3 linked regions of the Coturnix japonica genome follow. The protein of the gene in region 2 binds, or shares a complex with, the protein of the main gene of each other region. Links are inferred from orthologs where the notes say so. Each region holds a gene or a part of one and is shown on either strand. Other genes may lie near its edges.

The links.
Region 1: GTF2E2 (region 2) and GTF2H5 share a complex: the UniProt entries of both Homo sapiens proteins name them as parts of the TBP-based Pol II pre-initiation complex. The link is inferred for Coturnix japonica from reciprocal best matches to the Homo sapiens genes GTF2E2 and GTF2H5.
Region 3: GTF2E2 (region 2) and POLR2K share a complex: the UniProt entries of both Homo sapiens proteins name them as parts of the TBP-based Pol II pre-initiation complex. The link is inferred for Coturnix japonica from reciprocal best matches to the Homo sapiens genes GTF2E2 and POLR2K.

Annotation. Positions count from the first base shown.
Region 1 is NC_029518.1:46,896,103-46,906,967, reverse strand, and holds GTF2H5 (general transcription factor IIH subunit 5), read right to left. Parts: upstream 5,093-10,865; 5' UTR 4,993-5,092; exon of another isoform or gene 4,866-4,992; intron 4,728-4,865; 5' UTR 4,646-4,727; coding exon 4,611-4,645; intron 2,363-4,610; coding exon 2,182-2,362; 3' UTR 1,345-2,181; downstream 1-1,344. Other genes in the region: protein SERAC1, read left to right, coding at 6,217-6,307, 7,627-7,663, 7,995-8,131, 8,409-8,498, 8,754-8,885. UniProt on the Homo sapiens protein: Component of the general transcription and DNA repair factor IIH (TFIIH) core complex, which is involved in general and transcription-coupled nucleotide excision repair (NER) of damaged DNA and, when complexed to CAK, in RNA transcription by RNA polymerase II.
Region 2 is NC_029519.1:30,642,391-30,652,795, forward strand, and holds part of GTF2E2 (transcription initiation factor IIE subunit beta), read left to right. Parts: intron 1-854; exon of another isoform or gene 855-1,153; intron 1,154-2,405; coding exon 2,406-2,497; intron 2,498-3,039; coding exon 3,040-3,147; intron 3,148-4,342; coding exon 4,343-4,525; intron 4,526-4,969; coding exon 4,970-5,063; intron 5,064-10,405. UniProt on the Homo sapiens protein: Recruits TFIIH to the initiation complex and stimulates the RNA polymerase II C-terminal domain kinase and DNA-dependent ATPase activities of TFIIH. Both TFIIH and TFIIE are required for promoter clearance by RNA polymerase.
Region 3 is NC_029517.1:116,284,300-116,295,480, forward strand, and holds POLR2K (DNA-directed RNA polymerases I, II, and III subunit RPABC4), read left to right. Parts: upstream 1-3,739; 5' UTR 3,740-3,759; coding exon 3,760-3,834; exon of another isoform or gene 3,835-3,865; intron 3,866-4,635; coding exon 4,636-4,699; intron 4,700-5,403; coding exon 5,404-5,496; intron 5,497-5,665; coding exon 5,666-5,688; 3' UTR 5,689-6,154; downstream 6,155-11,181. Other genes in the region: SPAG1 (sperm-associated antigen 1), read left to right, coding at 7,325-7,464, 7,830-7,989, 9,680-9,805. UniProt on the Homo sapiens protein: DNA-dependent RNA polymerase catalyzes the transcription of DNA into RNA using the four ribonucleoside triphosphates as substrates.

The sequences.
Region 1 (10,865 bases), on a different chromosome or scaffold from region 2:
AAACTTTTATTATAGAAATGTGTTAACTTTTCCTTTGGACAACTCAGGAACTGTTTTTGTTGCTGTTGGCCTCTTATTTATACTCACTGAAAACGATGTGGCTTGATACAGAGCAACTCTGAAAGCTGGGTGGTGGTGTGGAGACATTGAGACCAAGCAGTAACATCTGAAAATGACAGTTTCAAGCTGCATTATTATAACGTGGGGGGATTGGCAGCCTGACTACAAAAAGAAAACATGAGGTAACTAAAACATCTAAGAAATTTCAGTTAAATAAACTGCATTCCAAACTCTCCTGCACTAATGTCTTTCCACTGGGATTCTTTGAAGTTAAAATAGTTCATCTGTAGCTTAAAGCATTTCCAGAGTGAGATATTAATGCTTCAAAGCACAATAAAACTGTGACCCACCATTACCTATGCTGCAGCAATTCTACAAAAAGCAGTTTAAAATGTTGGTAAGAGCTCCCCTTACTGGTCTGCCTTGAAATTGTTAGGCCCACACCTCTTCTGGTACAAAACGAAGATGTAAAGGATCAACTCTATTCACATTAAAAGAGATTAATATCATATTTCTATCAGAGCACCTATTACTTAGAAATGTCTTGTTGGTTGGTAAGTCATAAGACCAAAGATTTAATTTAGGAAAAATCTGTTTTCCCATCACTGAAAACCTACAAAGTGTATTGAAATACTTACGTATAGCAAACATAAGCCTTGCCAATGTCTAAGTTATACAACAGACATGGAGATCTAATCCTGACATAGCGAGTAATGCCTCATTTCACTAATCATTAAGCAATACCAGCTTTCATGGGATCATTTGTGAAAGTCAGTGCAGAGAGAGGGCTCAAATCCTCTGTGGAATTGGGAAATTTGGAAAGATTTGTTAGAAAAGCTCACTAATTTTCTCCAATGGCTTATTATCTGGTTGGAAAAGCCTCTCTTTATGTACATATTTATATATAGACAGCTATATTGCAGCAATGCAGTTTTCCATCAATATTATTTTCAGAGACCTACTTTTGAAGGCTCAGCTTGAGAGCTGACTGAAATTTGACGCTTATGGCAATGATGCCAACTAAGAAAAGTTAAAATAAACCACATTAATAAAACCATGAAATCCCATCACTTACATAGAAAAGGATCTTGTTAATGCACAGAACTCTGTGAGGTCACCTCAAGTACATGAGAACAAACTAGAAAGATGTTCTATCTACTCATTACACATGCAGATTTTTTACACTTTCAGTGTAAAGAAATGAGGACTTATCTTTGCAAGTTTTATCAAAGTGGCAATAGGGGGAAAAGAGCTAAAACAAAAACAAAATCAAATTTCTTCTTATTAAATAGAGCAATCAACTCTTTATTTTCGCCTTCCTATTCTTGCAATTACATATTAGCATCAGTAAAAACAAACAAAAAAAAAACAACCACACAAGCAGTTATATCTAAAGGATTGGTCTCAAGTTGGTGCTGCCCCTTCAATTTGCCACTGTTGATATGCAAATAACCAGTTTACAACTCAGTGTTATGATGCACGATTCACCCGGTGTCAAAACCTTAAATCCTCACCACCACTCCCCAAACTCAGAACAACACAGAAATGTTAATGCTGGTAAAAGTAGGTAATTATTATGAGGTACGTGTAACATGTGTGACAAAAAAATAAAGCCAAACTATTATTTTGGTATCCAAAACTCATAAAGTTAAAGAAGTATTTGATTTCATCTGACCATGCCTCCAATGTATGGGGATGCTCCATCAAGCACAGACTTGCTTTACATTCAATCAGTCACTCTATAAGCAAATTTAATCAATTCCACAGGAATATAACACATCAGAAAGGTTCATAAGGGATTCCAATACAGAAACATCACTCATTTCTGGGTCATACCATTTCACAAGATAACTCTAAAGGAAAACCAGAAATCACGCATCAAAAAGACCCCTCTGCATGTTCTTAAGTGTATCATTTTATGGATTTTAATAAAGACACTATAATATTTCAAAGTGAGAAATAAAATTCAGTTCAAGAGTATTTTGGCTATGAAAATTACTCACTTTCTGAAATAGCCACTTTAATGCAGAACTTACTAACCACAGTCTATTAAAACAGTAACAACCCAAACTACTGAAATTTGCTTTTTCAGAATTGGCAGCAATCTCATTTCTCATCTTTTTACTTCTGAGTAATAGGAAAAGAGTTTTGGTCCATTAACTCGCCCACTCTCTCCTGAAGGAAGTTAACCAGCTCTGCTAATACAAAGACATGAGTTTCATCCAGGTCTTGTATGATGAACTTCTTTCCCAAAGCATTTGACTCATCCAAGTAGAGCAGAAACTGCTTCATTGCTGGGTCACTGCAGAGACAAATACACATCAGATTCCACCTCATTGTAATAAGATACAGCTAAAAATTAAGAGCATCCTTTTAAGACATTCTCAAAGTTCTTAGGAAAATTGTACCAACTTCAAGAGCTGCTCGCAATCAAAAGAATGTTAGAAGAAAGACAAGGTTTACACAAAGAAGCAATGAAAATGATACCAAAAGTGGGTGGTCCTCAGTCTTCTTCCACACACTCTTTTTTATGGGTGCACAGAGGTTTATTTTTGCTTGTTTCTTTCAGATGTACCTTACCAACACACTATGAGTACCAGACAGCATAAGCTGGTGTGCCCAGGCATATGTCAGGCAATACACACATATTTTCACATAATCAACATACAGGAGTGCACTCAGTGCCAGTAGATGTACGTTACAGCAGAAACACCGATCTTATTCAGCATTTGAAGATTATAATCCTTGAGATTTTGTCCTCAGAACAGTTTAGCTATATACTGGAATAATACAGAGGGAAGGAAGAAATCTGTATATTATCAGCATTTCATAGTTTTATTTTAATGTTTTACTTTAATGTTTAACACATTCAGAAGTATTTATTTTTTCCAAACTTCTTGCTGACTTTTTACCTAAGATGCCCTGGAAAAGCTGAGTTGTGAAAAATTGGTATCTGAAAAGTAAACAAGGGGACAGGTTTGTAATCTGCTCTCAGGATGGACTCATCAGCTACCATTATGCAAAGGCAAGAAGGAAACAAGAAAGCAACCAGCAGCTAGAAAAGCCAACATAAAAGTGAGTTACCCAAGGGGCTGTTCAAACTCTGATGGCATAACAGATGCTACAGACTTCTTGTCAGGCAAACTATTTCCTTCCAGGGAGGATAATAAAGTTTCAAGCTAATACTAAATGGGAAATGATCACAATATTGTACAGGAACACACAAATCTTCCAGAGCAAGTAAAATAAATTACAAAAAAACTACAAGGCTGTACTGTCTGCTTGAGATATTAGAATTTCTTGTTTTGCTAGTCAACAACTCTGCTTTGGGTGTCTTGAGAAAATGCAGGAAGGCCATTTCTTGCGTTCAGGTTTATCAGCATAGTAGCACGCAGCCAAATTGGAGCAGAGAAACTTTTTGTGATAGTGGAATTCATGCTCCAAGCTGCTCATACCAAACTATGAGGCATTCAGATGTGAGCTGGCTAATGTCCAGTCAGCTCAGAAGTAAACCACAGTAGGCAGACAGCTGTATGCACCATGAAGGATGTTCTGCACTCATGCAGTTACAGTCTGTTAATATGTTTACAATTTAAACATACAGCAGAAATCCTGTACATAATGTAATGATATATAATGACTCCACAAACCTTGAGTGACACTTTCTTTAACCTGGAGGTAATTCTTATCAGAACCTTAGTCTAGGGACTTCAGACTGTATAGAAACAAATGGACTGCACGGATATGAACAGCTTACTGTCTGAAATTATGAGCATATTCATTTTAGAGTAGCCAGCCTTGAGTGTGCGAACTGGAATTGATAAAAAAAGAAAACAAAAGACGAAGCATGGACAAATTTCCCTTTAGAATCAGAACACATCACCCAGGATGAAAACTAATTAACATTATTTACAATATAACAAACAAGATGAATACATGATGGTTAAGTCTAAGCAGAAAACAACATATCTGAAAATATGAGTCAGGAATTAAGATTACCCACAACTGTCTCTCTCCTTCTTCCCTTAAAAACCATGCCTTTCATCTGTCTGTTTGCTCAGTGTCACAGAATCACAGAATGACCCGGGTTGGAAGGGACCTCAAGGATCATGTAGTTCCAACCCCCCTGCCTGGCAGGGCCACCAAACATACACATTTACTAGATCAGGTTGCCCAGGGCCCCGTCCAACCTGGTCTTGAACACCTCCAAGGACGGGGCATCCACAACCTCCCTGGGCAGCCTGTTCTAGGGCGTAACCACTCTCCTAGTGAAGAACTTCCCCCTAACATCCAACCTAAATCTTTCCTCCTTCAACTTGGATCTATTGCCCCGTGTCCTGCTATTGTCAGCCCTTTCGAAGAGTTTACTCCCCTCCTGGGTGTAGGTTCCCTTCAGTTATTGAAAGGCTGCAATAAAGTCACCCCGCAGCCTTCTCTTCTCCAGGCTGAAGTTTACAGCAAATACATTTTTGGGTCTAGACTCTTAAAAGCACCTAAAGTATTTCCAGTCCTAAAGAAACAGTTGAGTAGATGCTGATGCTGTCACTAACCATTCAATCAGGACGCCCTTCAGAACATTCACCATCCTCGCAGCTCTCACAAACGCTGCAAGGTGCGGGTGGCAGCAAAGACTCCTGTTTGAGGTTACAGATAACAGCAGATGAAACCTGTAAGACAAAGAAACGCTTTAGTTGAACTCAGCGACCCAGGACCCCCCTCGCCCCGCCAGCACCCAGAGCGGCTATGCCCCATCCCCCCACCCACTCCTCCGACAGCAGCCCAGCCTCCCGTTGCCGTGTGCGAACCGTGGCCTTGCGAAAGGCGGCCGGGGCGAAGGCAGACAGGCTCCAACCCGTCCCTAGGTTAAACCGAGGACGGCGAACGAGTAGCTCCGGCCCAGCAAGCCCAACCACTGCCCCCACATACACGTACTACGCAAGTGCAGCCCTCGCTCCTCCTATTGCCCTCCTGACACTGTGCGGCGTGATGACGTTGAGTGCGTGAGCGACGGTGCCGGCTGCGAAGGGAGATAGGAAGCGGAAGGTACGGGTAGCGCTGTGGAGAGAGGGGGATGGCGGCGGGGCAGTAGGAGGGGCCAGGGATGGGGTCTGTCCGTGGTCCGATGATTGTGTTTGTCAAACCTCAGCCTTGAAGCCCCTCCTGGCGTGGGGCTGGCCGCTGGCATTGCCCCAGTTGTGCGGAGGCGACCGCAGGGAGAGCGTGCTTATCAGAAATGTAATAAATGAAGTCAGTGGATAAGTGCAGTGCTGAAAGGAGACAGGGCAGAAAGTTGGTGCATACAGTAATCGGTGCTTTCACATGGCCTGAAATGCCTCATTGCTTAACACTACAACTGTACATTCATTGAACCTCAATCTGTAGATGCTAAAATACATCCCTTATTAACTGTGATGTTACAGGGTATGTCAGCAAGAAAAGACAAACGTTTCCAAATCTGACTTGCCTACAATGTATATGAGTTGTTAGAGCCTGCTAAGTCAAAATACAAGACTTGGGTGTTAAGATAAAATTAATTATGAACAGCTAATTACTAAGTCATATGCTGTACTCAGCACTGTCTTCATGTGAACATGATGCGTTTAAGTGAGGATTACTAAGACATTGGAAAAGGCCTCACACAGAATCACAGAATTGTAGGGGTTGGAAGGGACCTCTAGAGATCATCGAGTCCAACCCCCCTGCCAAAGCAGGCTCCCTACACCATGTCACACAGGAAGGCGTTCAGGTGGGTCTTGAATATCTCCAGAGAAGGAGACTCCACCACCTCCCTGGGCAGCCTGTTCCAGTGCTCCGTCACCCTCACTGTAAAGAATCACAGAATCACTGTAAAGAATCACAGAAAAATGCCTCTGCCTCAAAGCAGAGCAGGTAGTCAGAGATGGATACTTACCAGTATTAGCACAAATATGTAATTGCATGAAGATTTTCTGTAAACTTTTGCTGTAACCAAAATGCAAACTACTAAATTCAGGAGTTTATAGGCTTTTTAATTTTTACTTAGAGTGCTTTATAACGCACAAAATGACATAAATATGCTTTACAACCTTTCCTGTAAAAAGGGAAACATGGCTACAAGTTTTCTGTTGTAATTGCCAAATCAATTTATTTATTTTTTTCTTTTTCTGAATATACAGAATGTCAGTGGCTGCTTACTGCATATTTTGCTGTAGACAAATAGGAACTTCTGGCCCAGCCACCAAACACCACCCATCTTGGAATAATATAAGTAAGTACAGTTCTGTAAGTATCAATCAAAGGTGTTATTAAAAGAAGAAAAGGTCTGTGTGGGTGTAACACTGTGCATGATGAAGTTGACAAGAAGAGACATAAATCTCCACATAACTTGTGATCAAAGCTTTTATTTTCCTGAAGCGGATGTCTGCTTCTGGCTTGCTTTGCATTGCAGTAGTAACACTAGATTATGTAGATGATGGAAGTCCCACCAAAATACAACCTCATTAAATTATTTTAAATTACTTCTGTTTCATCTTTGGTCGTTTTTTAATGATTAGCACAGTGAAAGCATTGCATCCATAAAGAGTTAGTAACAGAGCAGCAATCGAACAAACCTTGTTTCTCTCTCCTTCTGTACTGAATTTTTTTTCCTCTTCTTTAAGTTCTATGATCATCCCTGCTTAGTTTCTGCTTTCTTTAATGCCTTGTGTATAGAACTGTAAGAATTTTTGTTTTAAGGTGTATTTTCCAGCACTAAAAGACAGGACATTTCTTACCATTTCTGCTCTATGGGAATCACTGCATTTTTTTTGTTTGTTTCTTCTTTGCCAGTTATTTCTTTGGCATGTAACTGCTTCTTGTCTGCATGCCACAATTCTTAAAGTCAGAAGCTGATGGCAGTGGGTCTAGGGCAAACCTCCTTCATGCTGAAGAAAACCAATTATTCATGATAGGTGAGATACATTCCATTGGGTTTGCTGCTACTCATAGCAATAGAGTTGCACTGTACTTACAACCTTAAGTCTAGATAATCAGCTGAACTTCACCCAGCACAAATAATTCAAGTCTGACATGAATCCTCACATTTAAAAGGGAAGGTGCTGTAAGTGGCATGTGTTTATTCAACTCTTTGCTCTGTAAGTTATATTTTTCAAGAAATTCCACTCAATCTATTTGCTTAGGGAGATTCTGCAGGGATTTTCATGTACACTGAATACCCAGTCAAGAAGAAAAAGTTGACTCCTTAACATAGTGTGGAGGTTCAAGCAAATGCTGATGATATAGACAGAATTTTTCCTGTTGATTCTTGCAGCTGAGCACAAAATGTAATTGATGAGTAGCAACACTCAAAGTAAGTAACAGCAGTAAGAAACATTTTGTTGCCTTGATTAAGAAAGCAGGAAATTCTAATTCTGCAAGATTTTATTTAATTTTAAATTTAAGTTGTGATTTTCTAAAAGCCAGACAAAAACAGAAAAAAAGCTTATTCAGAGTTCCTGAAATTCCTACTGTCTGATAATCACACGTTATCTATTTATACTGACTTGATACATACAAGTTTGTTTGACATGATCTTTTTCATTTTTCAAGGAAAAATTGCAAAAGTAACTGGATCGCTTATACTAGGGTAAGTTGTAACCAGCAAGCTTATATGTAAATTACATATACAGTGAAAACTTCAATTCACGTTACTTTCAAAAAGTGTGACAGTATTTGAGGAGTTTAAATATGCTGTATTTTTGAAGCATATCTTCTGGTAGATTGACTTGTTTTAATTATATTAGAGTCCTTTTTCTGTGCTAAATTGATGTAATCGATGGACTTCTATGTATTTGGTAAAATCTGGTATTTGTAATTAACAAATAAAGGATGATTTATGCCAAAATCATTGTTAAGATAATTTTGCCTTTATCTTCCTCTTTTTTAATAGTATTCACATAGTTTTCTTTCATTTAAAGAGGTTTTGTATTCATTACATATGAAGTTTGGTCCTTAAAGAAGTTACTGCAAATCGATACTCAAGCTATACATCAAGAAAAGCTTAAATCCCACGTGTATATATGTACATCTTCTCTAAATCGAAATGAATATCAAGGTAAGATATGTCACTGTTTTGAAACGAAAGATAAAATTAACAGCATACAGAATTTCTGGACTTTACTTGTATAGCCAGATACATTTATTGAGATGTGACAAAAATAGTTTTCTTTGCAATGTCACCTAATTTATTTTTCTTGAAGATATATATCCATACAAAGTTATCTCAAAGTATAAATATGACTATCTGAAAAGAAATAAAAGCCAGCCAGCATCTTGAAATAATTTGCAATATCTGTCTTTCAAACTTAAATAATCTAAAAATGCTCTTTTAGGAATCACATACCAAGCCAGAAAAGAAATCCATAGAGCAGTAAGGAAAATACTCGAGGCAGAAGCTAAAATTTTCCGGAGACCTTTTAATGGTAGGTGTGAAAAGTGTGGCTTTACCTGTGAATAGTACTCTATAGAAAAACCTAAACCAGGGAGGTTGTGAGTGTCATTCTGTCCTATTTTACTGCAGCAATTTGATGTTAAAATATTTCTCTGAATTACTACTAACAACTAATTTTGAAGCATTAAAAAGAACAGATTATTTCTTTTTAATTCAGTGAAATAGAAATGTGCCTGTTAAAATGCTCATTAGGAATAATTTGGGTTTTATGTGTTTTCTGCTAAAGAACGCTTTAGTACGTTTGATGGAGAAGATCATGAATGTGCATTATGGCTCCTCTTGAAAAGGACTCAGTCAGAAGACAAAGAGGTCCGACTGCAGGCTGTGCAAGAGCTGGCAAAGAACACTCACTGGCATGGTAATGTATGCTAGTGTAGCTCAATTCATCTAAAAAAAAAATGTAACAATGTCTCCATTATCTGCTTCTAAGCTTCTGCTGCTACCTTGGAAAAATTTCTAGTATCTGAAAGAGGTGTAATTTGATCCAAAATTAGTTTTTCTTTACTCTGTAAGCAGTTTTTTTGTTCCTAATACTCTTCCTCATTGTTACAATCAGAAAGATCAACATGGTGGAAGGGTGATACAGGAGTATAATAGCAAAGGGACTAGCATGAATGGAATGGTGTTACAAAGGAAAAAGAAACATGCTCACCCATCTCCAAAGACCTAGGCTTTCAAGGAAAACCCCACAAGAGAGGGATCTCCAGAAAGAGATGCTTTCCCAGTGGCAGTCAGCCCTTAAATGAGCCTTTAGGCCTTCACCTGTGCTCTCAGGGCTGACCAGATCCTTTCAGGCCTTGACTCAACAGTTACCATACACAGCACATAACTGCAGTGTGGGCCTCTCTCTACTCCCCCACCAGATTATCAGGACCACCATTTAGAATAATGCTGCCTTGGTGCTAGAGAGAACTTCAGGTTCGTTAGCTCCCTGGCCTTTTGGAGATGTTAAGAATGTCATTGGTTCTGGTAGTAATTGCTGTAAGGCTCTGCCAGAAAGGGGTTTAAAGCCATGGTTCAGTTTAAAAAAACAAACAAATAAATAAATAAAATTGGTTAGGTGATGATAGGTAACCACAGCAAAACAGTGGTGACCAACTAGAAATAGAGGACTTGCAAATACAAGCATTGTAAATAAACCATTTTCTGTCCTAGTTGTTACTGTTACCTTAATACTGAAACATCTTAAGGATTTTCACAGATGTATTCCACAGAAAAAAAAAATACTTTGATTTAATGCCATGGTATCATCAGTTACATTATTATTACATTACATGTCATAAACTCACCAATAAGTAGGAAATCTTCCCCTTTGTTACTGTAACGCTGTAACAGGATGGAAAGTACAGTGATAATAGCTGTGCGGCAAAATCTTTGGCTACAGCAAATGAGAATGAGCTGCAGATGCAAAAATGAAGGAAAAGAGCTGCTTACCCTTGGAAGGCCTTAGGAGATGCCCTCACCTCCACTACCAACTTTTAAATGAGGTCTGGGAAGGGGTGGATCCTGATTCCACCCCTTTCAGTCACTCAGGGCATTGCATGCACCTGAGCTCCCCTGGGTTAGCTCTGCCTTCCCACCAGGTGCTCAGTCACTGTTTCAGGCCATGACTTGCATTTCCACTGCAGTAATCTACTTCAGTATCTTCTTAAACATACTATAAAGCATGGTATAGAACTTAAGGTTCTCCAATTCTTCTTAAAGCAGCAAATGTCCTTGAACTCCCAAGTAAAGTGTATATATACACACACTTTTCTCCACTCCATCACTAGTCTGTGTAAACAACATAGCACTCTAACCCACTCTGATTCTAGTAGTAGAGTCAGTTAACATCTTGTGCAATTCCACACAGTCGAGTGTATGTTGCTTCAGACCACCAATTTCAAACTCTAATTATCCCAAACTATTTACGTGAAAAAGTTGTTGAAAAAGTTGAAAAGTTGAAAACTTGAAAGACAGATGTACCTAAACTCTGTGTGCTAATTCAGTATGGCCAACATTCATGTGAGAAGGCTGCTAGCAGATGTTCTCAGTCAGTTTAAAACTCAGGTTTTTAATACTATGTGCAGGAAAAAAAAATGGCAAATTTTTACTCTAGGCAAGGTTTAGGCTTGAATTGGTAGTTCTTGCATTCTTTTCCACAGTAGCAATACTGAACTTTTGTTTTCACAAGTGTTCAACTCATATGAGAATCTTTATCTAGCATATTTGTAATCAACAGGTCTGTTTTGTTTTAGCATAGTGCTGGTCTAACAACTGCTATTTTTGCCTTCTGGAATTTGTGACTACAAAGTCAGAGCTTATTAAGGAGACTGCAGAGAGGTTTTTCTTAACTTAG
Region 2 (10,405 bases):
TAACGAGAGTAGCATCTTTGAAAGCTGTCAGAAAACGGGCTGACTTCACACAGGTTTACTTCGTTCATAAAGGCACAATTTAAATTCATATTGTAAGCCGCTTCAATTTGTATGCAGTTCAGCTCCTGCATCATTTAGTGAGTTAAATGTTTAATGATTTGGCTCTATAAAGAGGGAAATGACTGGCAAAAAACTGATTTCAGAGCAGTGCTGAGGAAATCCTGTTTTTAAGAAGCCATAATAGGTATCTTGGGGTAACAGCATTTACAAACCTCAATGCATTTTCATCTTTCTGTGTGGTACCCAGTGCTCCGGTACTGACAGTGATATTAATACCCAAAGGGGTTGTCTTCCTACTTGAACGTACTGATTTCTGGAACATGTTTCTAGCACACCCACAAACACGCATTTCTTTTAGCTACTGCAATTGGTGAGGTTTGCAAAATACCCATCTGTGAGATACGTTTGTTAAATTTCAGCTCTAATTAATTGCTCTGTAAGGAAAAATGCCTTCCATGTCTTTTCTGCACAAACACACGCTCAGTTATGAGAGTGAGGCTGCAGAAAGCAAGCGGCCTCACCAGTAAGCATCAAACCCATTTTGTTTCCTGAATCCGGGCTGGCTGGGTTAGCTTGTCTCTAAGATGGAGTGGTCATCAGTTTGCCATTAGCACACAGACGGTGAGTGTCTGACAGTGCAAGGCAAGCACCCCGCGTTGAACAGAATAAAATCCAGCTAAACCTAGAGAAAAACCATCCTTGTAGGCTTTTTACAGGCTCATATGTTACGGGTGTATTTTATTGCAGCAATTAAGATGAACGTAAGGCAGCATTATAAAATAACGTGCACCTACCTCTTGTCTGTAAGGATGCTGAGTGAGCGCCGTGCCGTTCCCTGTTTTAATGCAGCCTATGGCACAGCTAAGATGGAGCTGTGCTGTGATAGGCCAGCGTGCGGTGCTGCTGACAACTTCCTTTATGCTCATTTCCATCTCCCCCCACCCCCAGGAGGAAATCATTCACAAATAGGCTCTTACTGCCGGAATTAAGAAGCCACTCCTTCCTATGCTTCATTTTTTGGGATGTTCACTGCACGATGAGCTTGTTAGCCAAGGGGTGCAGGGCAGCGGCCCTGAGCTGTCTGCTTTGCTCTGGGACTCAGGCTGTGACGTTATGGGTGTTCCTCCCTGCAGGGCCAGCCTGGCTCCATGTGGGGGGGTTGGGGGGAAGCTTCAGGGACTGCAGGCAAGCAGATTGAACGAGATAATCTTCAAGATTCAACTGACAAAACAAATACGTGATAAGTCGTCTTAGCTGTAGCTCAGCCCTGATCTTTGTTTTAGGCACTGCCCGTCTCTCATTATGTGTATGATTTTACCATGTTTCCTTCAAAGCAATTGCTTTCCTGTGATCCCGTAGGGGAAAATCTTTGTAGGCGGGGTCTGTATGGGGAGCTGGATTTTGTTGTTTCTCTCTTAATTTAGTAACCAGAATAAAATGTTCTTATGTAGCTGCAGTTGTGCTGGTTATCCTGCATTAATTTTAGAATTGGTTTATGGCTGTGTAAAGCCTCCATTCAAATGTTGTGGAATTGCTTCAGAATGTGCAGTTCCTGAGGTTGGGTGATAACCCAGCATGGCACCCACTGCAGCCTCTCCTGCAGCTGAGGTGCTTCCATTACTCTTTCCTGTCCCTCCACTTATTTTTCACAGAAACAGTAGGAATAGATGCACAGACCTGTGATGACATGGGGGGGAATTTTGCTTTTCTGGAGAAGTTAAAAATCTGGAAAGCTATTTCTGTTAGATTTGAGCAACATTATGCTGGTAATGGACCCGCAGCTTCTGGTAGTAGTTAGTGGACATTTAAAGTTAACATACTGCATTATGCAGTTAATACAGCATCATTAGCTCAACCTTAGGAGAATGCTGAAACAAATTTTGTGCAGTAACAGTCCTTGTGATACTTGTGCTACTGCTTAGTAGCAGAAGGGGATACTGAGTAACTGCGTGAGCAGGGCAACCTGCTGATCAGTCATCTTGAGAAACACAGCCTTACTTTACTGGGTGGGTATTGACTGAAATAAGCGTAACTGTTCCATATTGCTGAGATAGGAGTGGAAAGTCAGTGGGGATAATCGCTTTGAGTTTGCCAGTTTTATGGTTTAATACTGCAGGTTAGTGCTGCAGCTGCTCGCTTTTTTCTTAGAGCTCATGTCCTAGTATCTGTATGGATACAGAGTCGTGCTCAGAAGCATTCTGGAGCCAGCAGGTAGCTGCATGTCTGTATCCCCATCCTTATATCGCAGACCCCTCTAGAATGACTGCTCCTGAAATGTTTCTGTTGTTGGCTGTAGAAGTAGTTGTTGAAAGCGTTGTTTATGTGTTTATTTTCTCCTTTTGTAGATCACAGCAATGGCTCGTTTAATTTGAAAGCCCTTTCAGGAAGCTCTGGCTACAAGTTTGGAGTCCTTGCAAAAATAGTGAATTACATGAAGGTATGGTGGTTTCATGTAAAAGTATAATGCTTGGAAATGCTTTATTTTTTCTCTGTGATAGTAAGATGATGCTGAATGTTTCAGACTTTGAGATTTATTTACTGCACAAGACCAAGAATTTCAAGAAACTGGGCTGTTAAAATGTAAAATGCTGTGAGTAAACAAAAGGCCCATTATGTTGCTTCATCACTGGAATCCCAGTTATTCCAGGTCTGCTTAAAAAAAGGAGACTGGTTTTGTTTGCATTAGAACTTGGAATTTGAAGATGCTATCAGCTTTTAGGATTCATGAGCTGTTTATCAAAATAACTTGTAACTTGGTGCTTGACAGATAATTTTGTCATTTATCTCAGCTGATACAAACTGATTTTTCTCACATCTTTAGAGGCCCGAAGTTGGTACTCATATGCTCCGTGTGCTGTGTCTCTTGGTTTCACAGAAATTACTGTGTCATCACCTTCTGCCAGTTTTTTGTTACCCTGTGGTAATTGAGCTGCTGAATAAAGAACTACAGATCACTGATAGATCCTCTTTGTTTTCCAGACTCGGCACCAGCGTGGTGATACGCATCCATTAACTCTAGAAGAGATTTTGGATGAAACACAGCATTTAGATATTGGACTCAAACAGAAGCAGTGGTTAATGAATGAGGTAAAGAAAAGCTTTTGATTGGACACTGGAGGATAGTGATAAACTTGAACTGTATATGTTTATTTAATTACAGACTCTATAAATATTGAAGTTCTGCTTTTGAGAAGTTGCATTGATTCATGATTTGTCTTGTGCCTCCTGCTATTGAAATAACTGAAATGAAAGCTATTCTGACGTTTTTAAAGGGTCAATTAGAATTGCTGTTAGTAGAGCAAAGAGTAAGTTGTAATTGAGGTGAACTTCTTATTGCTAATCTTATACATGCAAACTGTTGTTTTTTTTAAAAGAAATTTCTTCTAAACAGAGTTCAAGCAGAAAGCCCTATCACTATCAAAGATTTCAAATTACTTAAGTGAAAGCCTTAAAACTCATACTCTCAGATCTTTGTTGTTTACTGAATTGAAGAATTCTGTTGTGAAATCTGTGTCTGGAATTGTGGGGTAATAGATCTCAAAGTTCCCCTGCTGGAGTTCATCAGTTTCATGATTTATGTTAGGTTTCATTCTTGCAGAGTCACTGCAACTTCCTGCTGTGTTCATCTTCGTGCTTAATTGATCCAAATGCCATCATGGCATTTCAAGACTAGTAAATCAACAAAACCCTGTATTTAGTATTTATACTTCAGCAATATCTGGTTTTGCTGATATTATACTTAGAATCCTTGCAACAAAGTAGTAAAGGTTGTTGATACATGCAGGGGGGTGGAGAAATCTCTGTAGTAAAACTAGGATGTTTTAAGTTATGTTTTTAATTAATACTAATATTCTGGAGAACAGAAAACTGGCAATGCTGCTATCATGAAAACTTGGCTCCACTGAAAGCTTTGAAGAGTAGCTCTAGGTTGTTTCCATAACAAATTAGAATATTGAGACTGAACCAAAAAGCTTATATAAGATTATCACTGCGTCAGTAATCCGTGATGGTACCGCGTGCACAGAAAAACTGATTTGGATCAGATCTTAAGTCGTTTCAATTGTCCATGAGACATCTTCACTCTGAAGCAGCACCATGAGAATGTTGTGCTGTATGTTGCAGTGAGTTATGCCCAGGCTGGATCTCAGATCCAAGGATTTAAAATTTGTTTCAAATTCAAACCTCCGAACTGTCAGCTATAACACATGGCTGACATACTGTAGCTATTGAAGTACTAGTTTGTTCTCTCTTTCAAGGTTTAAAATGTATATTTCTATTACAGGCTCTAGTCAATAATCCAAAAATAGAAGTTATAGATGGGAAGTTTGCTTTCAAACCCAAGTACAACCTGAAAGATAAAAAGGCTCTGCTCAGGCTCCTGGACAAGCATGACCAGCAAGGGCTGGGAGGAATCTTTTTAGAAGAAATAGAGGAAGGGCTGCCCAATGCACATAAAGCTATAAAGGTGAGTCACTCTTGTCTGGGCTTCAGCAAAACTCTTGGATAGGTTCTCAAAGGAGAGGTAAAAGCTAAGAGAGAATTTTCTGAGTTCTTTTTGTTCTTGTGGTGACTCAGAAGATCTGATTTAGTACCTTTTTCTGTACGTCGGCCTTTATGTTTAGAATTGACCTGACAGCACAGCTGTCAAAGCTTTCTTACAAAAGGTGCTTTATCTACTATGTTGCAACTGAAGGCACTTAATTGTGCTTTCATATCTTGATCTCAGCCCTCTATATCTTGTCTTTGCTTTATTAATGCATTTATTGATGGTGTCCACTTTGGTTGCATTTTGTTGCTTGTTATTTTGCTGCTCTCTGATTCATTGATCTCTTTGTAGAACAGGATCTGGGTCTGTTATTCTTAAAATAGAACTGATTTGGGGTCCTTTTTTTTTGCATTTGTTTTAAAGGCTTTAGGGGACCAAATTCTCTTTGTTACCCGCCCTGATAAGAGGCAACTTCTTTACTACAATGACAAGAGCTGTCATTTCTCTGTGGACGATGGTAAGTGTTTATTTACATCTGCATCCATGGTTTAAATTCAGCTTAGACAGCTGAATGTGAAGATAACAGGACTAGCAAACGAGTTCAGGGATAATAACCTCTGTTTTCTACTGAATGCATTGGTACATGGCACCAGGAACCCTACAATTCAAGTGTAGCTGAACAGAAAAGACTAAGAGTTGTCCATCTGTGGCTTAGATGACATCGAATATTTTGCTGCAGAAAAGCAGATGAAGAACAGTGGAATTTCTTTTGGGTTTGTGTGCTGCTTTTTGTCCCAATTTATTAGTCATGTACTTTTGTTGGTGAATGCAATGAGGAACCAGGAATTGAAGAAAAGGAACAAGCAGACTGGGAGGAGATGTGAGCAAAAGTACTGGGAAGAGTTGGTTTACGACTGGGAGGGCACCCTGAGTGTGGGCTGGTGCTGCTGTCTAGAGCTGGGAGTGGAACTCCAGAGCTTCAGCCTGTATTTTTTATCTTACAAATAGTGGTAAAGTCCTCTGACGTGAGTGTGCCTGTTGGCTGAAAGCAGCAAGAGGACAGGTTATACAATAATATATGTATTTACAGAAATTAGTTACGCCTGTCAGGGTGTGTTGCAATGATGACATCAGAGCCAATATCAGATATCTGTAAGTACAGAAGGGAGAATGCATTCCCTGGTAACAGACCTTATTTTAAATGGCTCAGGGACGCTGAATACTTCATGTTGATCACTTGTTGTTCCGTAACATGCCACATGAAGCCATATTCCAAAGCGTCACATGATAGTAAAAGAAGGAAAAAGTTGTCATCAGACCTTAAACAGCTGTATGTGCAAGGCCATAGAACAAAACGTAAAGCTCTTTTGTCTTAGAATAACTCAGAGGAACTCTTTATTTTAAACAGAATCAAGCAGCTTCTTTGTTCCATACCAGCCTTGGATTCTCATTTACTTAATAGCTTATTTCTGCAAAGATAATTTAGGAGATGTCACCTACAGCATTTAAAAGTATAAAGATAGTTTCAAAATATTATTTTAAACTGTAATTTCTTGGTTCTTTATAGTGGGAGTCTTAACAGTATATGAAATGAGGGATCGTAAGCCTCAATCGGCCTTTATTGGGGAGTTTGTATCTTCCCAAATGCCTACAAGTTTACCATTCATACTGTCAGTCTGTTCAGATTGTGTTTCTTGCGTCCATTGGCTCATGGCTTTCAGGATTCCTCACTTTGCCAGAACCTTTAAAAATCAGCTCTATTGCAGGCAAAGCTTTAAGTTTTTTAGCAGCTACTGGTTATATTACACTCCCAATTGCTGATCATTTCTTTTCCAGATAATTGGCACCCAGCTATTCTAAAAGAGTTAGCAGGATCTCTATTCTATTGCTTTCAGCTTATGGTAACTCCTGGATCTACTGGGAAATTGAATCAAAGGGTCCATTTTATTGAGAAGTTCAAAAGAATTCTACCAGGTCTGTTGAGGTGCCAGTACAGATCTGAGGCTGTTCGTATACAGTCTTCAGGTATTCTAGCACATGCGGCACTGATCAGTGCAGACCTTTGCTATAAAGTAAGGGAAAATGTTTTGTTGAAAAAAACCAAACCAAACAAAACACAAAAACACCAACAGAAAACATAAAATGTGTAAGCCGGTTGGCTCAGCCTCCCACTGGGAAAGGCCTGCAAGCCCCTACTGTCTGTGATGAAGGGACCACTAACTAGCATGCAGTGTGTTTGTAGTTCAAGATGGCCTTGCTTGCTTTCATCCGCAGGTGGCAGCATGTTCCCATCTGAGCAGAAAAGGATTCTTTTTGTTGTTCTTTTGTGCTGTTTTTGACTTGTCTTTGTCATGCAGAAGATGATGCTTTGTTCTGAGAGAGGAGGAAGAAAAATCTCTCTTAACACAATTTGTGATCTGCCTGCATATGCCACAACTCTTTCAACATTCCTGAGTGGGCTCACTTTGCTGTTGCAGCTGGGATGGGTCCTTTTTCCAACCATGTTATCCTGAGATGAGAAAAAACCCATCCTTCCTGAGCAGTCTTGCTTTGAGATTGTTTCCAGAGCCCTGGAAGCACGTCTCTTAGGGAGTCCTTGGCAGAATTGTCTCCGTACAGGATAAGCTATGACACGTTCCTGCGTTAGCAGTGCTATTTCAGCTCATTATCTCCAGCAACATTAAAACTAAGTTTTTTAGAAGGCTGCAAATAAGCCTTGAAGTGTTGTCAGACTCTTTGATCTAACAACTGATGATAGTTCAAAATATGTTTCTAGTTTAATGCTTATCCTTAGAAGTAAGGGCTCTGCACTCCAGTACGTGGTTTTGCTCCATGACACTCTCCAGTTTTGAGCATATGTTGGCTGGGGTTATTGTCCTCCATGGTTGCTCTCCCCTTGCTGTCTGAGCACCATCACCACTCAGTAGAGAAAGAGGAGCGTGAGGCAGTTTGGAGGTTGCTGCCTAAAGCAGTGGGACGAACTGGCAGTGCCTGCCTCTGCCCTGACCGCAGTTGTTTTGGTGGCTGAACAAGCTTTTCTTTCTCCCCTCTTGAAAACAAACCCCAGTGTACTTCAGAGGCAGTGCAGTACCTATATCGTGATCTCCAGGATACTGGGGAAGGTATGTGTAGTGAGGAACGGCTTTTGTTCTTCCTCTTATGTGATTAGCCAAAGAGGGTTCAGATTGCATGTGTTCCTTCTTCACTTCCTGACTAATTAATCTTCTGTCAGTAATGTGTAGCTGAAAGGGTTTATAAAAGCCGGGCTAGATTTCAGGTGCTTCAGCCAAGGCAAGCACTGCCTTTTTGTGCTGGGGCTAAGCACTTTGCATGTGAAGCAAGCTTTCACTGAGGGCCTGAATGCTGAAAGGCCACTCCAGTTGCTTCGCTGGTAGAGATGATGTTTTTCACCTCTGAAGGAAATGTAGGAAATACCGTAGTGCCCAGAAATGTGGATATTTGATTATACGTATGTTTAATATTCTTCCTAAGCACCTTTGAAGAGATTTTAAAGAATGGGCGAAGCCTATTAAATTTCACAGTATAAAAATTGCTCAGGATCAGTTGATGATTTATAGTTCTGGCCTTGAATTACAAGATGGTCCAGGCACAGCACTAAGTTAAAATCGGGTACCTTGTTTTTTCCTGGTATAAATGCAGAACTGTTACAGAGCAGGATTTCACCTTCCCTACTGCTCTTAATTTCTTTCCTTCTGCCCTCTCCGCAGAAGTGTTGTTGTCCATGCTTGTCCTGTACTCAGGTTTTAGCTCAGCTCAGTGAAGACTCTTAAGCTGTTTTTAATCTCTGACAGATTTTATTACCAGTATGATACAGAAGTTTATCTCCAGATCCATCTCAACCTTTTTGCAAGAGCGGGCAAGACAATCAGAGCTGCAGGGTAAGCTGCAGGAAGCCACCGTGCAGCCACTTACCCATGACACTGTTTCCCAAATGTAAGCATTTATGGAAGGAGAATGCGTTGGATTATAATAGCTCAGGGAACAGTGGCGAAAATTGCTTTTGTCTATGAGGCACCCCAGGCAGTAAAGCTGCAGAAACATCCTTACCCCTCAGGTATTTCACAGAGGAAGGCCATTTACAGAACTTCTGTTGTGCTGCCCTCTGTTCTGCTATGTGTACTTTTCCTGCTGGTCCAGGTTCATTGTTTTAAGTCTGTGCGTGCAGGCACCTTGATGTTAGGGATGCTAGCAAATACTGAAGTAGCCTTTCAGTCAGCCCCATTCCCTCCTTCACTATCTGGAGAAGCAGGGGAGCAGCCCCTGAGTTGTGCTAGTTCAGCCAAGCCTCTGGGTTGAAATATTTTAGTGATCAAATTGCAAGATACCGCGTACAGCAGGATTTGTTCACTCAGGGTGCTGCAACTGCAGCTCCCTGCCTGTTTTGGCAAAGACCTGCATTGCCATCAGATCTCCCTATGGTTTCACAGCCCCAGTGTTGCTTTGGTCAGAAACTCTTTGGAAATTTCTTTCCAGGGGATTTTTTCTCAGCTCTGTATTGTCATAGCAGCTGAAGTGACAGGAGTTGGCAGCTTGTCTGAGTACAGCCTGCTGTGGTCAGGTGCAGCCTTCCTTCTTGACTGCTGAACGGCCCTTGCTTTCCATAGTTGTTACTTGTCCTGGTTTAGCTATAAAATAGTTTTCTGACTCTGAATGAAGAGTCTACCACCCTCACCATGCTCTGCTGGCATAAAGATTGCCCAGCAGTTGACGGGACATAGGGAGGGAAAATAGAAAGTACTTTGGGATTGCCGCGGTTTTATGTGTAGCAGGAAGGCATGCATCTGAACCTGTTCTCTGTGCCTGGCTGGAGCAGGCTGGTGTGCAGTGAGCTTTCTGCTTCAGCAGTCCCCTTCCTGCTCTCCACACCAGGTTTCTGCAGGCCAGTTCCTTGTCACTGGCCCCTCTCGTTAACTACTACAAGTGGTGACTCTCTTTTTTGTGAGGAGTCGCAACAAAGGCCGGGGTGATGGTGATTCAGTTTCTTCTCAAAGTAGCTGGAGAAATCACATCCTGTCATGGATTAAGGGTATGGATTTTAGGCCTGGAGGGGCAGAAATGTGGATGGCTATTTCTTGGGAGTGGTGGTTATTGCCAGCTTTTCACATAGGCTCTCATGTTTCAGAGAGGATGTCACAGTAGTTCACAGTGTATTCCCAAGGTCTAAACTTTCACTAGCTGATAGGGGCATAGTCCTTGGTGACTGAATAAATCTGACAGGTAATATGGAAATGGTTCACTGCCAGCCAGCCAGCTGCTCTCTTTCTTCATTTCCTGCATTTAGTTCAGTATCTGGTGTGACACGGAATTGGTTTTGTGATGAGATGATAGATGTACTTCTTGGCTCTTTAGATGGAACCCTGAATACAAACCACAATTATGCACGACCATGTGAATGTGTCCTCACCTTTATGCTGTTCTTCCTGTTCTGAGCCAACCCTTTAACACAGAATATTGCCAGGGGACAGTTTTATTGTGATTTTCCACTTTCCCGGGCACTAAGGTATTTTAGTCCCGGCTGTGGGACTTCACCACGGAAGCTCTTCTGCAATTACTGCAGTCAGAGCTACAGTGCTTAGAGCTGCCTGATTGGTGGAGGAGTATTTGAAAAGAATGGCTGAGTACTGTGCAGTGATTCTGATAGGGCCAATTAATGAATTAAACTGTCTGTACTTAAAGCCCATTTTAGCATTGTGATGTTATTGGTTCTTGGTGACTGTTAAGTTTATATTTCTTGACCAAGATTAAAAGGTGAATGTGAAGCTGTAATGATGGTATAATCACTGCATTACAAGAAATGCAAAATGCTGTGGTTAGATATTAACTGTAGCCTGCACTTCT
Region 3 (11,181 bases), on a different chromosome or scaffold from region 2:
ACACCACTGGCTCATGTTCAGCCAAGTGCAACTAACACCCCAAGGTCCATCTCCTCTACACAACTATCCAGACATATTGCTTTGTTGTCTACAGTGAGTAGACTGCAATGCCAGTCCAGAGGACCGTGAAACTTGAGAACAGTCTGTGAGACCCTGACATAAAGGTCTGTGGAACCAGACTCATGGCAGTACAAAACAAGATATGTTTAAATCAAAGAATGCACCTAAATGAAAAGAATTTTTGCAGAAAAATTAGAATTAGAAGACAAATTTGGCCTGGTTATTTTCCCTTTCCCATATATCTCTACGAGTACATTATTTTCATCTTACTCTAGTACCTCACCTTTGCACCTGCTTTTCCTCATTGCTTTTTGCTCTTTCCTTGGATACACTCATTTAGCAAAATGAGAATGGAGGAAATTTGAAATACCACAACACAAAGTATATATTACGTTTTTAAGCAGCATAAAATTGCAGGGGAAAAAAAGGTTTTTACTGCTGTTGGGATGATCAGAACGGCAGAGTTAAAGCAGCGTTGAAACCTTAAGCAAAAGTGAAAACTACAATGTCAGTGAGCCAACGTCCAGCAGGAGGAGCCTCCGAGCTTCCTATATGGATTTTGCCTGTATACTAGTTATATTCATAAAAAATACTAGTTATATTCATAAAAGCTACCTCAAAAAACATTTTCAGACTCATTTACTGCTTTATAAGGCACTCTTATTTGATCTACCAGTTTTGATGTATAAAACCGAGAGTTTACTACTTCAGGATCTTGAAGTAATTGCTGGAAGTGTTAGGTTCCTTTTAGGCATCAGGAAACAGACAAGCGAGGAAGAACAGACTAGTCATATAGTAAGGACATATCAAGCTTGCTAGAGAAGAAGGAACAAAAGACATGCCTGTCCCTTCAATTTCTCTAATAGTTTTTTCCAATTCTGTAGTCTTCAAATTGGCCCACAAGTCAACAGCAAACTTTCTGGCAGTTTACAGAACAAAGAATTTCATGTTCATAGAGCCAAACTAAATAAGGGCAGCATTTGGACATTTGATTGAGAATAATATATGACACACCTAAGCTTAGAAAGCATTCTAAAATGGAGGAGGAAAGAATGCTGTTTACTGGAAAGCAATGTGAATGGCTTCTGTACCACAGATGAGTTCTAGAATGGAGCTACCCAAGCTTGATTCTAACTTACATTCCTTGGTAATGCACCCTGTACAAACCTGCCTCTAACAAAATATTTTCTACCCTTATTTGTCACTGTCCATCCTGTTAACCGAACAGATAAAGGTGAAGCTTTGGTAATACAGATCTACTTTATCAGATGTTTCATTAGAAATCATACTTGCAATAAAACTGACTTTATCTGAAGTCTCTAGTCTTAGAGCTCCCAGATCTAATGCCATCGATACCTTAGTTCAATCCTTTTTGTCAAATGGGGTTAACTTACCCTATTTGTGAGGCAATTGAAGATCCTCCACAGCAAATATACTGAATTCAAAGCACTATTTAATCCCTTACCGACAGCCTAAAGTGAGACAGGGCACGAGTAGAAAAGAGAGGTACAAAAGAAACGTTAATAAGAAGTGGGACGACAGCTGAGAAAGCTTCCCCTCTGTCTATACATGCTTTCACTGCCACATCCACCTACCAGCAATGAGGATAACTGATGCTACCTAGGGAGCAGTGTCGGGGTGAGGGGGCTCTCTCAGTCACCTGGACTGCTGGACACGAACACACAGCTTCACCTCCTTATCTAGCACACTGCTGGGCTGAAGAAACCGACCATAGAGGCCCCCACCACCGAGAACAGCCTGAGGAGGTCGGCGGGGCTGCCAAAGGAGATGAAAGGCGAGGCTGCCCTCCCTCCCGGCCAGCTGGCTGGGAAAGGCGGGGATCCTGCCGCCTCCACAGCTCGCCGCCCAGCTTCAGGGCCCGTTGCCCTTAGTGAGAAGCCGCTTCGCTTCTCTCCACCCACACCGGCTTCTCACGTGCGGCTGCAGCCGCTTTCCCTCGCTTGGGTTTGAACTGCCCGCCTTTACCAACCGCTCCGTTCTGCCACCCCAGTAGCGCAGCCCTAAGGCGAGAGCAGGGCGGGGGACGGCCTGAGGAGCGCTGCCTCCAAGGATGCGGACGGCACCATCTGGGCTCCGTGCTCTCATCGTACTTTATACTCCAGCTCGGCGGCTCCCGCCGCTCCCAGCCCTCCATAAAGCGCCCCGGTGCGGCCCCTCTGCCCGTCCCGTTCTGTCTCTCTCAGGAGCCGGGCTGAGGCGTTCCCGCTGCTCACAGCTTCTCAGAGTCGGGCGGGAGGCACCTTCAGCGGGTAGCCCGAGCCCTCACAGGTGGAACGTTGTCTGCACCAAGAGCTTAAAATCTGAGATGTAAGGGTGCTGATTAATTCATTTTAATTAGCTTATTTGTACCCGACAGCTCAGGAGCTAGATAATCATACAGAACTTCTGTTTTTTCTTTCATGGTTTACGCTTACGGCTCCACCAGAAACACTGTGAGATAAAACATGCTTTAAATCGTTGGGAGTAACTCCGAATGTAACGCCTCCACCCAGGGCAGAAAGATGGAGGTTCTCCGTGGTAACTAAGGCTGAGCAGGGCGGGCTCCATCCCCCCCAGAGCGGGGAAACGGGGCGTCTCGGTGTACGGGTAGTGCGACCGGAGGGTAACTGTAACGGGTAAAAACATTAGGGTTTTTGCGCTGGTTCCTCGTTCCATTTTAGAATGCGAATTAAAGAGTTTAGAAATGGAATCCAGGGTTTCCCAAAGTGCTTTCTGTAGCAGTTTCACGCCAGTCGGAAGAATTTCTCTTCAGGACCGGCGTTTATCAGCCCGTCGGAACGGGGCTATACCCCGAGGGAGGCGGCGTGAGGCACAGAAGTAATGGACGTTTAAAAAGACTCCATCCCACCGGGGAGCAGTTAAATGATGGATATAATCAAGATAATGAATGATTTTCTCGGGACAATCGATATATATTTTTTTCTCATGGGGTATAATTAGTAAGTAGGTTTTAAAGCATCACCTCGATGCTTTAATCATTTCGTCAAACCCGTTTTAAAATACAAAACGAGTGCGGGGAAAGATTATCGGCTTTACTTTAATTTCAGTGATTAGTTACTTGTGAGGTGTTAATTACTTTGTGTCCATCACCGGAGGAAGGGATCGTTCCGTTTTGGTTGGTTGATTTTTGCTCCCGGCAGCAGCTCCCACCTCGGAGGACCCGGGGCAGCGAACATCACTGCCGTGCACGTCCCGTTATTCTTACATGTGTTTTATTCCGGCACTAAGAAGTTACACTTAACTTTATTTTCGCACAGCAGCAAGACAAAGCCGATGAGCCGCCTAGAAATCCTTAGCACGTTGTTATTACTTCTAGCTTTCCCCAGGAGACGGTTGTTATTCGGCGTTCGGAAAGACGCATTTCCTCACATCAGGGAGATGTTATCTACAGAGCAGTATTTGTTATACGTTCTTACGTACCTGAGGACGTGCCATTACTCACACAGGGACGCCTAAGGGGCACCCAGCACTCGCCCAGCTGTAGGGCTGAGCCGGTGACTGACAGCACCGCGGCTTGCCAGTTTGTTTCAATGCGGGAATACATGGCACAGACCGCAGGGTACCGAGATTTAGTTACCAGCGCCAGGCTCAGCTCACTAGCGCTTCCAACTCTCACTCCCCCAAGGCTCCATCAGCCGCTATCCGCTGTAAACCCGACACAGCGCCTTAAGGACGGCGATGCAGACCCGCCCCCTCCGGCTTTGCGTAGTGACGCCATCATTCGGCGCCGAGGGGACGGCGAGGAGTGTGGAGGTTGGTGCCGCTTTCGGCTTATCCCTGCCGGGTTGGTGGTGGTGGTAGATTCGGGGTGAGGGGGGAGTGGGGAAAGGGTCGACCAAGCCCCTGGGGGTCAGTGGGGAGGAGGCGTGGCTGGCGCTGAACCGAGGCGGGCTGGGGGGGGATCATTGAATCATAGGCTCATAGAATGAGCTGGGTTGGAAGGGACCTCAAGGATCATGTAGTTCCAACCCCCCTGCCTGGCAGGGCCACCAAACATACACATTTACTAGATCAGGTTGCCCAGGGCCCCGTCCAACCTGGCCTTGAACACCTCCAAGGATGGGGCATCCACAACCTCCATGGGCAGCCTGTTCTAGGACCTCACTGGTCTCCTAGTGAAGATCTTCCCCCTAATATCCAACCTAAGTCTACCCTCTTTCAGCTTAAATCCATTTCCCCTTGTCCTGGTATTATCAAGAAGGGGAGAAAAAATGCTTTCTTTCTCTGTATGGTCACAACCTTAAAACGTAGGTCTGCAGTAATACCTACATGTTAGGTGGGGGTTGCTAAAAAATGAATTGTTTGTGGAGTAGTTGTCTGATATTGTGAAGGAATGTTGGTGAACCTGAAGGCAAAAGGTTAGCGTGCCAGGACAAACAGAAGTCCTTTCCAATGTGTATCATCTTATGTAGCATATATTAAACAGAGCTTGAATATTTTTGTATTTATTTTAAAAGAACTTTTTCAATTTCTGTCAACTTTAGATGGAGATATTGAAATATTTGTGTAAGACAACAACAAAAAACATGTATTTTATTTGTTGTTTTTGCTTAGAACATGGATTCACAGAAGGACGTTCAGCCCCCAAAGCAGCAGCCAATGATTTACATTTGTGGAGGTAAAGAAAAGACATTAGTGGTATTCAATGCTCTAATAATGAGGAATGTGCAGTCATAGTGCCACAGAGTACAGAAATCTACATAACTGGGTTGTGGATCCTGATGATGCATTAAGCTTTATGCACTGATGCTCCCATATGCATGGATTACTTGTGGTTATTGATGTGGAAGTCGTTCACTAGAACCTCTGTTGCTGTGTGGGGGTCCTGCATCTCTAGAGGATGATAGCAGAACTTTTATATATTGCATCTTGGAGACAAAGTTTTTTTGGAAATAGTGTTGTCATTCAACTTTCACTAATGCACAGTTGTCAGATTTTCTCTACCTAAACATAAGTTAATAAAGTGAAAATTGGAGCTTTTGAGTAACCACTTTAAAAGCCTCAGAAAAATTTAGGCTTAAGAAAATAAACTTGGTGGCTCGGAGGGGCTGAGAGGAAGGTTTCATTAGTGGAGTGTGGAATGGTACAGTAATGTTTGGATACTTTTTAGCAATCTAAGTTTGCCAATTCTTTTTTTTTTTTTTTTCCTTAACAGTATCTTAATATAATTCAGTTACTTATTAAAATTCACTGCAATTATTTTCTGTTATGCTTTGTTTGCTAGTAAAAGGAATTAGACCATTGTTACATCTGAAAGCTATCTGTGCTTTAGATATGCTGCTTTTGTTCACTCATTGCTATTCTCCTTCTCCATCATATCAGAATGTCATACAGAAAATGAAATAAAGGCAAGAGATCCGATCAGATGCCGAGAGTGTGGGTACAGAATAATGTACAAGAAAAGAACAAAAAGATGTATCCTTTTACAAAGGCAGTCGAATGCATTTGGGAAGCTGTGGGGCAAGCTGTGTAAGAAAATTGACTTCAGATTTATGCATTCCCTCTTTTTGTTCTCCTTGACCCCTTTCCTCCCCTGATCTTTCCTTGAACTGCAACGCATTTTTCTTTAACTGCACAATTCCAGTGGTGGTTTTTGATGCCCGGTGATTTGACCTGAAGATACATCAATTTTATACTTCAGTTTAATATTTCTGGCAACTTTGCTCTGTAAATCCATTGGTGTATAAATGCATAGTTTAGTGGTTTAAGATATTAAAATATTAAACTTCACTGTGATACTACTTGCCATACCATCTCAATTCTGTCTATACTACTTTTAGAAATGGGTTTCTTCCTTAAACTTTAGTCAGAATGTGCAGCATTCTGTTAAATTCATTGGTATTATATTCATTTTTGAGTTAAGTGTTAACCTTGTTTTCACAGCTCACACCTAAGCCTTACCTGTGTTTCAGCTCTTCAGTGTTTTTTGGACTCCTGTGAACTGCATAAGATAATCTTGGTTTGAATAAATCCCAGTGAAGACATATTGAAAGTCACGCAAAATCAGGTCTGAAATTTGGATTTGAACTCGACAGGACCCAAATCAGGATAAAAATAAATGTGTAAATAGAGATTCTCAGGCTGTTTTGTGACCTTGCTTGTACTCACTAAAATAAGTAGGTCTACAGTATAAAGAAACCTTGGATAAGGTAAAACTGAAATAACGTCATTTTGCTTTTCGGATGATTTCTCATGAGTCTGTATTAAGAAGTGGTTGCCGTTTTGTACTGATAAGCCCAAACTTTTTGCATCCATTTTCCTGTTCAGAACATTTATATTCAGAATATTTAATACTAAAATACCCATAGCGCCAATTTGTCTTAAAAAACACTGCTGCTTTGTGTGTGGTGCTAATTTAGCCTGATTAAATGCTTGCAAATCCAAATTTTGTTTCCAGTGCTGATGAGGCTGTTGAAAGACAAACATGTCATTTCACTGTTATCTGTACAGTATGATACCACTATTAGGGGGTGTGCTGGCTGCTGCAGAAAGCAACAGGGATGGGTTTTAGTGGGCCCAAGGTTGTGGGCAGTGGTGAGGCTCAGGGCACTTGGAAGAGCGTCGGACTGGATTTAGACTGGATGAAATACTACACTGAAAGCTGATGTTTTATGGAAGCTCAAACTCAACGGCTGTATTTCTGAAGGGAATACCCTCTCTGAAGTCAAATCATTTTTAAGAACCATTTTATGGAAATTATATTTAATAAAATATAAATTAAAGCAGTGTTATATGTTCCTAATAGTCAGAACGTTGGAGAGCTGCAGCTCGAGCGACCCCGCGCTGACAGGGCCGGCCGAGCCCCTCAGCTATTCACTCACTACGCGGCGCTCCTTCGCCATCGCTCCGCTGTGCATGCGCGGGCAAGGCGGGCGTCCACGGCGGAGGTGAAGGCTGTTAGGAGCGCGGTAGGTGGGTGTCAGGGCCGTCGTGTAACTCCGTGTCCTCCACAGAGCCGGCGGGGCTCTGCGGCTCCTCGCAAGGGGTTGGCTGTGTGGTTTCTTGCGGCTTCTCCGTCTATTACCTCCCCACAGCGCCGCCGGCCGCCATGTTGTACATAGCAACGGCTGCTATGTTGCCATTGCTGCCTCTCGGTAGATCTCCGTGAAGAAGAAATCGTGGCATCAGGTCATCAGGCAGTAGTTCTGCTGCAATTAGTACCTTGTAGCATTAAAACACGGCTATTCCTTAAATTAGCATTGCTCTAGCCCCCAGAGATTTATTTTTCTTTTAATGTTTAGTGATGAGTGATGCGTCAATAATGTATTTGCTGGACCAAGGAACTACTAAAACATATCAAATACCTATTGGTCATCTCGACTACAAGTTCATTGAAAAATGTACGGATGTTCCATACCTGGAAAAGATTCTCAAGGTGCTAAGGTAAACGTTATCTTTAATGAACTTCATTACTAATTGTATTCCCATTCTATCTCTCTTGAACCTCTTTGTAGTTTTCGTATTTAAAACCTTGAAATTAAGATGCACTGTGAAAGTAATTGTGGTAAAAGCGTCCAGATGATTAAATGAAGAGTTAGAAATTCAAGTCCACAGTGGATCTGTGTCTGTATGTCTGCTGGAAAATGGTTAACTGAGATTTTCTGATCAAAATCAAGAGGTGATAGATTTCAGTTAGAACAGGAAAATAACACTCTATAGTCACTGCATACAGACAAGTATGGATGTTTGTGGGGAATGCAGCGTAATTTAGTTCCCCTGTGTAACTTGCTTATGTGTTCATTTTAAAGGTCTGGTGAAGAGGGATGTTATCCTGACCTGATGTTGTTTTGTGAAAAGCGTATCGAGCATTTAGCTCCAGGGAGCAGAGTTCTCAGAAAGGATAAGCCAGCAGCCACAGCAGCTGATTTTACAGCTGAGGAATGGGAAACAATTAATGGTGAACTGATGGTACTGTATGACTCTAGTTCATTGTGGTCAGTAATGTAACCTCTTTGTTTGGTCAGTCTTGACTGATTGTTCAACCTCATTTTGTGCTTAAGTAGAACACGATTATTTGATTAAATGAGGAAATGATAGGAGGGTTCTGTTGTGGTTTTCTTTGTTAATATTTATTGAGATAATGCTAATTACTCTTTAATACCCATCATAACTCTACAGAACATATTTGTATATTATTATTCATTCGAAAAAGCTCAAAACAATTGCAAACTGCGTATAGAGAATGCACTTTTCACAATCTTTTCATGAAAGAGCAGATCATTTTTTCCATACTGTTCAGTATGGAACATACTGAAGATCTCTTTGCAACTGAAAATATTGAAGAAGTCTAAGTGGGCATAAGCATTTTAGATTATATTATTTTAGCCAAAAAACCAGAATCTCTAGTAGTGTCATTCCTTAGTAGCACCCCTTGCCTGTGATAAAAAATCCAGATGTATATATAACAGAAACACAGAATCACAGAACTGTAGGGGCTAGAAGGGAACCATCAGAGATCATCAGGTCCAGCCCACATGCCAAAGCTACAAGCTGCAAAGGTAGGTGTTCAGACAGGACTTGAATATCTCCAGAGGAGGAGAATCCACAACCTCCCTGGGCAGCCTGTTCCTGTGCTCCATCAGCCTCACTGTGAAGAATTTGTTTTGCATGTTGGTGTAGAACTTTTATGCTCCAGTTTGTGGCTATCTGCCCTTGTCCTGTTCCCACAGACCACTGGAAAGAGGTTGGCCATGTCCCTTTGACTCCCACACTTAAGATATTTATGAACATTAGTAAGATCAACTCTGAGTCTTCTTTTCTCAAGGCTGAACAGACACAGGCTGCTCAGCCTTTCCTCATTGGGGAAATCCTCCAGGCCAGTTATCATCTTTGTAGCCCTCTGCTGGACTCTCTCTAGGAGATCCCTGTCTTTTTTGTACTGGAGAGCCCAGACCTGGACAGAGCATTCCAGGTGAGGCGTGACCAGGACAGAGCAGAGGGGGAGATTCACCTCCCTTGACCTGCTGGCCATGCTCCTTAAATAATGAAGTGATGCTTTTTATGGCCCAGAAATTAACATGCTATGAATTGAATTATGTAGGAAAAGATAAAGCAGCAAAACTAATCTTACGAGAAATTAAGCGTATCTATTTTTAATTAGAATCTATGAAAAAACAGGTGAATGCTTTTTGTTGCTTTGTAAATGTAGAAGGTCAGTTGGAGGCAATTTTGTTCATAGCATGTTCTAATCAAATCATTCTCTTTCTTCTTGAGACTAATTGTTTCCTGTCTTTTAAGGGTGATTCTCCAAGTGCTTCTGAATGATTAAAAGCACTTCTATTTTTTGCATATTTCTCTTTATAATGGTTACCATTTTGAGGCTCTAAATGATGATAAAGGAATGTGCACTTGTGCTGTGTTCATCATTAGGTTTTCTTGAATTGACAATGTTATGAATAGAAATAACCCTTTAAACTTAAGGAACTTAAGCTTATGTTTAAGGTTTTAAAGCTTGATTTTAAGCTTTATTTTTAATCTTCATCTTAATTGCTTTTCCTCACGAAGAGCTTTGCATTGTAAGGATAGTTGCAGGGTCATTTTAGACTATGATGTGTATCTGTTGTACAGCTTTAAGGTACGGAGTCTTACTTATTTTCAGAGCTGGGTGGCAGAAATGAATGAAGATGATAATAAACCACAGTTTTTGAAAAGAGGCACACTGCATGAAGGACAGGATAACTTGCCTCCCATTCGTTGTTCCAGCAGCTGTCTCCCCACTTTCCAGGTATCTTCAGTTTTCTCAAACATTACTTTTACAAAAGTATGTTAATTATGTCTATCCAAAATCAGCAAATTCAGATTTTAAGAACTTCTATTCATTGAACCTCTCTCTTACTAGATGTATTTTGTTAACCAGAAAATAAAACTCTTTAAAGTGTCTCGTAAGAGACCAGTGCTTAAACAAAACTGCCTCTTTCATACTAACATGCATCTTGTAATTATCTTTTAGTCTTGATCAAGTGTTAATTTCTGAAGCAAATCTTAAACACCCTTTTCTGTACCTGTACATTTCAGGGTAGTGTTAAAGAGTATATGCTAGGTTTATTTGGGAGGTTTTCTTTTTACTGGTGTGGAATCATGGAATGTATTTTCCACAGATGAATGAAGAGTGAGCTTTATAACAGGATTTCCCTCTCTTACCTGATACAGAAGTTTCTGTATTCATAATCATGTTTCTGTTTCACGCTGCCTTGGATTTTGAGGTTACATCTATACAGAGAAATAAAAGAGGATCGGGAACACAGCTTGATTATTTCTGTTTCTAATTGTCCACACTGCTTAAATATTAGTGTTGCTCACTTTTTCCAGGGCAGAACTAAACCATGTTCTAGAAGTATGGGCTTAGAAGTATTCACTTCCATAAAACAGTGTGGATGAGATTTCAGCAGATGTAGTTTCTTTGCCAAACACAGTACTACAGTGCAGGGCATGCAGCACACATTCCAAGTTTTGTTTTAGGAAACTCCTCTGTGATGTTATCTATACAGCCCTCATATTATTTTGGATATTCCAAATTGAAAAAGAATATTGGTTAGCTGGCTCAGAATAGTAACTTATATCACAAGGGACCTACAAGAGATCCAAGGCCAAGTTTTTGCATCTGAACTAAGTCCAATCTATGCATCATTTTTTGGTCCAGAAATTATTTACTGAGCCAAAGACCCTGTGGGATCCATGCATTGAGAGTTCTAGCAAGAAACATGACTGTGGAAGAGGACTTTTTCAGTCTTCTGCCTATAACACCAAGTACCAGAGAAAAGTTGGCAGAGCATGCAAACATAACCTGTTCGTGAGAGGCTCTTGGATGAGAACAAAAGAGGAATTCCAGACTCTCCTGGAGCCATGAAACCATGTTACATTGACCTCAAGAGTGTGAGACCTAGAATTTTAAGGATTTTTGAATTTTTGAGTCAACATTTCTGCTTTATTCCATTAAAGGACACACTGTAGTTCTCTTGCTGTATTAAAATTGCATTTGTGTGTAATATGTCATGAGTTTAACTATGTGCTCATTTAAGCCAGGTACTTCTTAGTTTGAAAAGGTATTTGAAAAGTTCAAAGTTTGTGACATAGCCCAGATTGTATACGCAATGATGTTGT